Cricetulus griseus: one gene and its partner. Each later gene encodes a partner of the first gene's protein in a complex. Links are inferred from orthologs where the notes say so. Each region holds a gene or a part of one and is shown on either strand. Other genes may lie near its edges.

What was found. Proteins that work in one complex are often made in the same cells at the same time.
Region 2: Gas8 (region 1) and Ccdc153 share a complex: the UniProt entries of both Homo sapiens proteins name them as parts of the nexin-dynein regulatory complex. The link is inferred for Cricetulus griseus from reciprocal best matches to the Homo sapiens genes DRC4 and DRC12.

Annotation. Positions count from the first base shown.
Region 1 is NC_048596.1:200,177,085-200,180,733, reverse strand, and holds part of Gas8 (dynein regulatory complex subunit 4), read right to left. Parts: intron 3,380-3,649; exon of another isoform or gene 3,334-3,379; coding exon 3,136-3,333; intron 2,301-3,135; coding exon 2,094-2,300; intron 798-2,093; coding exon 743-797; intron 1-742. UniProt on the Homo sapiens protein: Component of the nexin-dynein regulatory complex (N-DRC), a key regulator of ciliary/flagellar motility which maintains the alignment and integrity of the distal axoneme and regulates microtubule sliding in motile axonemes.
Region 2 is NC_048597.1:155,930,767-155,935,082, reverse strand, and holds the end of Ccdc153 (coiled-coil domain-containing protein 153), read right to left. Parts: coding exon 4,290-4,316; intron 3,835-4,289; coding exon 3,742-3,834; intron 1,814-3,741; coding exon 1,683-1,813; intron 699-1,682; coding exon 570-698; 3' UTR 513-569; downstream 1-512. UniProt on the Homo sapiens protein: Component of the nexin-dynein regulatory complex (N-DRC), a key regulator of ciliary/flagellar motility which maintains the alignment and integrity of the distal axoneme and regulates microtubule sliding in motile axonemes.

The DNA.
Region 1 (3,649 bases):
CTGCAAGTGACATATTCAGCACATAGGCCACTATCACCTTTCCTCTGTCTATGATAATCAGTGTTTGCAGTGGGTGTCCCACACTAACTCAGTGCACACTAACCATGGCCTATGTGGCTGTCCAGCCACACACCATAGGGCTCAGTCAATAAAGCAGATGGACTTCTGGCATGGAAGGCTCTGAAATCCAGGAGCCTGAACAAAGTGCTATGTGCTGCTAACGGCTGGCTTTAGACAGAAATGGAGACATGAGTGGTAATCACAGCTTGCCACATTCACATGGGAATGAGTTTTTCTATGGCTCTGAATGAATCTGTTGGCTTCAGAAATATTCTCTCTCTTGATCCAGACATGGTGGCTCACACCTTTAATCCCGGCACTCAGAAGGCAGAGGCAGGCGGATCTCTGTGAGTTCGAGATTAGTCTGGTTTACAAAGTGAGTTGCAGGACAGCCAAGGATACACAGAGAAAAAACAAAAACAAAAAAAACAAAACAAAATTTACTTTCTGTCTTCTTCTCCCCTCTGTCTGCCTGTCTGTCTGTCTGTCTCTCTCTCTCTATCTGTGTGTGTGTGAGAGAAAGAGAGAGAGAGAGACGGAGAGAGAGACTGAGAGACAGAGACAGAGAGAGAGAGAGACTGAGCTGTTTTAACATGGTTTATGTGCCTTAAGTTACTAAGCAGTGATGGGAGGGGCTCCCTGACAGCATCCTACATACACCCTGCACATCTGCGAAACTGACCTCGAACTTGCCTTTCAAAGTCATTTCGCATCTTGGTCATCTCCTCAGCATGTTTCTGTACAAATGAAAAGGGGGTGTTACTAGAAAGCCAGACAGAGAGGCCCACGACCCTACTATGTGTGGGAAAACTCAGTTTAGTAACTCCTGTGCTGCTGCTACTTCCTGGACTCTCCTTACCGCCATATCATAGAATATGCCCAATGACACGGCTTGGAGAACCTCCACATTTCATACATAACTCACTTCCTTCAGGGGAGACACCTCTGAGTCTGACAGACAGTGCAGACATGAGCACTGTACAACCTTTCCAAAGCCAGAATCAGCAGTCACATCTACATGGAGCCTTACACAGCTCCTGCTAGCCTGCCTCACTATTGCTTAGAGCAGTACACACAGATGCTGATTATTCTGGTTTTTTGAGACAGGGTTTCTCTGTTTAGCACTAGCCATCCTGGAACTCGCTCCGTAGACCAGGCTGGCCTTCAATGCAGAGATCCACCTGCCTCTGCCTCTTTCTCCTGTGCACTACCACACCCAACTCAAAGATTATTTTAATGAGCAATTACATGCTACATTTTTAAATAAGATTTATTATCTAATTATTTGATTTTATGTGATCGAGTATTATGTCTATACCATCTGCATGCCTGGTGCTTATGGAGAAGAAGACATCATAACCTTTAGAACTGGAGTTATATACAGTTGTGAATCACCATATGGGTAATGGGAATTGAACTAGGGTCTTCTGTAAGAGCAACCAGTACTCTTTTTTCTTTTTTCTTCTTTTTTTTTTTTTTTTTTTTTTTTTTTGGTTTTTTGAGACAGGGTTTCTCTGTGGCTTTGGAGGCTGTCCTGGAACTAGCTCTTGTAGACCAGGCTGGTCTTGAACTCACAGAGATCCGCCTGCCTCTGCCTCCCGAGTGCTGGGATTAAAGGCAATGGCCACCACCGCCCGGCCGCAACCAGCACTCTTAAGCACTGAGCCAGCTCAGAGTTTTATTCTATGTGTATGGGTATTTTGCCTACATGCATACAATATGTGTGCCTGGGTGTTCACAGAATTCAGAAGAAGCTGTTGGATCCTCTAGAACTAGAATTACTGATGGTTGTGAGCTGCCATATGGGTGCTAGGAATTGAACCCAGGTCTTTAGAAGGATAGTCAGTGCTCTTAACTGCTAAGCCATTTCTTCTGCCCCTACATATTACAAATTTGAATAAAAGTTTTGCTAACTTATTTGTTAAAAACCACTAATCATTTTTGCACAAAAACACAAATCCCTAGATGTCAAAGACCTAGTTCTGGCATCTAGGTTCACTTTTCCATAGCATCAAACTACAGGCTGTACCTACCAGACGAAGGTTCTTTATCACCACCTCGTTAGCCAGCTCCTGCTCCTTGAGCTCCACTTTCAGTGCCCGCATGTCCTTTCTCAGTACACCCTCCTGCATGCGGTGCTCCTTCTGGGCCAGCTTCATGACCACAGTGCCCTCAGCCTTCACCTCGGCTAGGTTGTTCTGGTGCTCATACAACAGGTGCTTTACTTTCTGTTTGTACACCTGCAAAGAGCGTGGGGGTGGGGTGCCACATGCTCATCTGAAGCCCCAGTGCATGCCCAGCTCACAGGCAGCTAAGAGGCAGAACTGTAGAGGGCGGCCTGCTCATACTCCTGCCATTCACAGAGGCTGCAAATGAAATACTCAGAACTTGCAGGGTCTTTCCTGCTACTAGAATGAGACTGCTTTACCTTGTCCTCTTCAGAGACTGTTGGGAGGTTCTAACGGGAATACGGTGGACACTGTGGCAGGTCATTCAGTTATAAAACAATTTGAATAAAAATTAAAACCTCATATTCTTGTTTGTTTTGAAACAGGGTCTCCCATAGCCCAGGCTGACCTCAAACTATTTACATAACTAAAGTTGACCTTGAACTCCTGGTCCTCTTACATCTACCTCCCAAATGCTGGGATTACAGGCATGTACCACCATGCCTAGCTCTATGCTTTAAATACTTTCCAATTTTGCTTGGCTGAATTCATAGCAGTTCTTGGCACACTTGCACTTAGACCTTACCACAGTCTTCTTTCATCAGAGTAAGTGGTCCTCTTCCACAGACCACGCATGTAGCCATGCAGGAGGCTTTGGATACTCACCTAGTCCAGGTTAGTCAACAGAATCAACCCTGGTGATCAATGTGGTGACAAACGACACAGCCAAATCACCTTTGCAAACTTCCTTGGACTCTTTTTGAAAAATTGCCTCTTGTTCACAGTACAAAGAACATAAGCAAAGGAGTCTATTTCCAAAGAAGAACAGAAAATGTCCCCACCCAGCCTCCTTCCTGTGCTGCTGCACCATGACTCTGGTGGAGACAGACAGACCAACTCCACTCACCTTAATCTCCACCTGGTGCCTCTCCTCTGCCTCCTCCATCTCACGGTCTTTGTTTCGAAGCTCAGCCTTCTTTTCCTCCAGCTGCCTTCTTGTTATCTCCCAGAAGGTGTGGATTTTGTCACGTTCTAACTGAAAGTAGTTGCGCTCCTCTCGTTCTCGGTCCAGCTCTTCCCGGATACGCGAAACATGTTCCTCGACCTGACCAGGCACAGGGCATCAAATGAGGTACCCTGCAGGAGCCCATCTACCATCACAGTGTGTGGACCAAGGGAAGCAGGGAAGAAAAAGGGAGGGGCCATTTTACAAAAGTTAAAATACAAAGCAGGAAGGCTCCAGAGACAGTAAATAGCAAAAGTCTCTCAAAGTTGGCAAAGAATTACAAAACAATTTTATCTGTTCAGAAACTCCTGGATTCTTTTAAGAAATTTCTCAAGCCGGGCAATGATGACACATGCCTTTAATCGCAGTACTCGGGAGACAGAGGCAGGTGGATCTCTGTGAGTTCCAGGCCAGC
Region 2 (4,316 bases), on another chromosome or scaffold:
ATGTCCTATTACAGCCTTTCCCAGTGGGCCAGTGAGATGGCTCAGTTGGTAAAGGTGTTTGCTGCTAAGCCTGACAACCCAAGTTCAATCCTCAGAACCCTGTTGGTAGAAGGAGAGAACCAATTCCTGGGAGTTGTCCTCTAGCCTCTACGTGAACACCTTAGTATGCCACTGTCCAAATAAATAAATAAATAAATAAATACATACATACATACATACATACATACATATATATATATATATATATATATATATATATATATATGCAGTCTTTCCATGGACATCTGGCTTTGTGTTTTTCTTAGTGAGGATAAGCCATGGTAGTTTAAAGGAACCAAAGGTGCTCCAGGCTTAAGGGAATGGGATCTAGTTTCTGTAGGAGAGGGTTTAGAACCTTTTCCATTTCTTATTGTTCAGTGTTTAGAACAGTGGGACAATGGGGTTAACCCAGAATATAGATGTCCCCACGAGAGCTGTTCCTCAATGCTAAAGGCCACAATCCACACTTCTGATGAATTCTACTCCAAGTCGCTTTATTGCTAGGCCTCAGAAATTAGGGGCCAATGGCTTCAAAGTTCCAGGGGGTTGAGAGCAAACTGACGTAGTTGCTCCTTGTGCCTGGTGTGGAGTCTCAGCACAGCTGCATCCCACTGAGGCTTGGCAGCTCTCAGCTTGGCCAAGAGACAGTCCAGGCTGCCCTGTGAACAACAAGCTCTCAGTTCCCGGAGACAGGGAAGGGGGAATGTTGCCTTAGGTTGCCCAGCTTGGTTAGGAATAGTTCTTTGCCAATGGCTTCCCTTCCTTCCCTTTCCTTCCCTTCCCTTCCTTCCTTTCCCTTTCCTTCCCTTCTTCCTTTTCCTTTCCTTTCCTTTCCTTTCCTTCTCGTTTCCTTCCTTCCTTCCTTCCTTCCTTCCTTCCTTCTTTCCTTTCCTCCCTCCTTCCTTTCTTCTGTAAGATACCCTTGCTTTGTATCCTGGCTGGCTTTGAACTCAGAATTCTCCTGCCTCAGTTTCCCAAAGTACTGAATTGCAAGCATGAGCTACCTTTCCTGGCTGCCCATTATTCTCTCTCTCTTCAGCACTCAGGATGGAACTAAGGCCTCATACATGCTAGACAAGCACCCTGTCCACTGAGCTGTCCATCAAACCCTCTTTTTACCTTTTATTTTGAGGTGGAATCTCTTACTATACTGCCTAGACTGACCTTGAACTCTGTACCTAGGTTGGTCTTGATTGAACCTATGATCCTCCTGCCTCAGCCTCCTGAATAGTAGGATTACAAACCTGTGCTACTCCTTTTGTTCCCTGCTCCTCCTCCTCCCCATTCCTCTTCCTGCTCCCCTCCCCTCCCCTCTTTTGGGAAGGTTGAACCCATGGCCTTGCATACTAGTGAGAGCTCTACCATTGACCTATACTCACAGGCCCTGATTATTTTGGTCTAGGTCTCACTATGTAGCAGCTATATAGCAAGCACATTGTAGCCAGTGTTGACCTTGAACTTGAAATCTTCCTGCCTTAGCCACCCAAGTACTGGGATTATAAGTCACTGGCTCTGTCAATGGTTGTATCTTCTGTTTATACTTAGATGGCTCCCTTGGGTTGTGGGTCATCACACTAGTTGGGAGCATAGGGATGGAGGGTTATGGGATCCTGAGAAGATGGCTTCCAGGGGGTGGTGCTTACATGCAAGATTTCTTCATACTCGGCCTCCATGTTTGCCACGTGGGCACGAAGCTGAGACAGGGTTTCATCTTGCTCTCTGAGGGCTTGCTCAGCCTCTTCCCTTGCTGTCTTAGCCTCCTTTTGGCATGTTTCTAGGGTGCAGGGCAGAAAGATAAAGAGGACAGGATGGTGACACTACACCAAGAGCAGTAACCAACCTTGACAGAGTCATTACAGACTTTAGGGTCATCAACTTCCCCCAGGTCTATAAGGACTCACTGAGGTATGGCAGAGTGAGTAGAGGTCTTGAGACAGGAGACGGGTCCAAAGTCTGGTGATTGTTACATATACAGCATGGGACAAGTATCTCTGGGTCTCCATGACTTAAATGTTTGGCTTTGTTTTGTTTAAGACAGGGTCTTATGTAGCCCAGACTGGCCTTAAACTCCCCATGTAGCCAAGGACAACCTTGCACTCCAGATCGTCCTCCCTCTATCTCCCAGGGTTGGGATTATAGACTTGTGCCAACTAATGTGGTGCAGTTTCTCTATCTTTATACATATTTTTATTTTTAATTTTATATCTGGATTTTAAAAATAATTTTATTGGGATGGAGAGATGGCTCAGAGCACTGGCTGCTCTTCCAGAGGTTCTGAGTTGAACTCCTAGCACCCTCATGGTGGCTCACAACCATCTATAATGAGATCTGCTGCCCTCTTCTGGTGTGCAGGCATGCATGCAGGCAGAACACTATACTTAATAAATAAACTGTTAAAAAACTTTTATCCCTCCCCTCCCCCCCTCCCCATGTGTGTATATGTATGCAGGTGCCTGTGGAGGACAGATGAGGGCATTGGATTGGATCTCCTGAAACTGGAATTACAATGGTTGTAAGTCACCATGTGGGTGCTGGGAACAAAGCCAGGCCCTCAGGAAGAGCAGCCAGTGTTCATAATCATTGAACCCTTTCTCTAGCCCCTTCTTTATCTTTGGAGAGAAAATGATATACGTTCCTCTTGTTTGCTATGACTCTTAAATGTGAAAATGGATGACAAAACACCTAATGTAGCAGGTGTTCAATAAATGTTGAATTTTAATTTGAAAGAAGGCCAATGTTAGAGATGGAATCCCTGGCCTGTATAAGCAGTTCATGAATATTTATAGCGGAAACTGAAGATATTTTGGATGTGGTAGCTCACATCTGTAATCCTACAACTCAGGAGACTGAGGCTGGAGGATCACTGTGAGTTCGAGGCCACCTTGGGCTTTTTGAGGACTACAAAGAGTCAGGAGGGGATGGAGCAATGCCCAGTGTTTAAGAGCACCCAGGTTTTGTTCCCAGTGACTCAAAATCATCTTTAACTCCAGTTCCAGGGGATCTGATGCCCTCTTCTGACCTGTTTTCCTATTTAATTGGTATATTCACTGATTTAACAAGTAGTAATTTAAGGCCTTCTACCAGGTGCCCAAGTTTGAAGATACTAAAATAAATTAAGTCTACTGTTTTCTGTAGTTTGGTTGCAAAGGTCAGCTAAACTAACAAGAAATGTGTTTTGCTTAGGATGGACAAGGCAGTGAAGGGGGTAACTGCTGGGTTTGGGGAGATTAAGCAAAGGGGGAAAAGGGGTGAGAGTCCTACCTTTCCTTACTTCTATCTTGGAGGGCTTTTTATTTTATTTTTTTGAGTTATTTATTTTGTTATTTTATGTGTATGAGTGCTTTGCCTGCATGTATGTATGTGCATCCTGTGGGTGTCTGTGGAGGTCAGAAGAGGACTTTAATTAGATCCCCTATCACTTAGGTTACAGATGGTTTGTGAGCCACTATGAGGATGCTGGCTCAGGTTCTCTGTAAGAACAAGTGCTCTTAAGTACTGAGCAAACTCCCAGAGAGGCCAAGTCCAGCCCCTCACATAGGGGTTTGTGCCACTGAACTCTCAATTCAGAGAAAAGCTAGGGTGAAGGTGACCCTAGTTAAAATTCAACCAGAAGACTGTAGACAGCAAGTGAAGGACCTCCCAAGTCCACTCTTCCATGATTGTTTGTGAGCCTGGGGAATAAGAGTGAGCGATGGGGACTACCTAGCTGCTCCCGTAGGCTTCTCACTTCCTCCTCCAGCTGCTTGCTTCGGGTCCTCAACTCCTCTTGCAGGGCCCGGCGCTGGCGGCTCATCTCTGAGGTAGGAACCATAGGGATAGAGGCATGAAGAAAGGAAATGAGGTTGCATGTGGGGAAAAGTCTCACTCAAGGAACAGAACTAAGAAACTTGGGAGACCTTGAAAATTTGGGAGATTGGAAACCAGACGTCCCCCTACCCCACACATCAGCTTAAAAGTGGGGACCCTGGCCCTTCTTGCCACTTACTCCCAAAAATAAAGGTAAAGGGCCATGGCTACATTGTGTTTCACACAGATATCAAGCGTGCAGCATTAGACATTCTAGAATGTGGTAATCTGCATTCTGCCAGGGATCTGTCTTTGGTTCTCAGGACCCTGCCTATGCAGGGACAGCAGAGGGTAGGGTATGGCAGTTAGATTCCTCTTCATTTCCCTTCCTTGAATTCCCCAATTTTCATGGTTGTCCTCTTCCATGCCTTTGTCTCCTGCCCACCTGGCCAATCAAATCATACCTGCATAGACAGCATCCCTTTCACTTT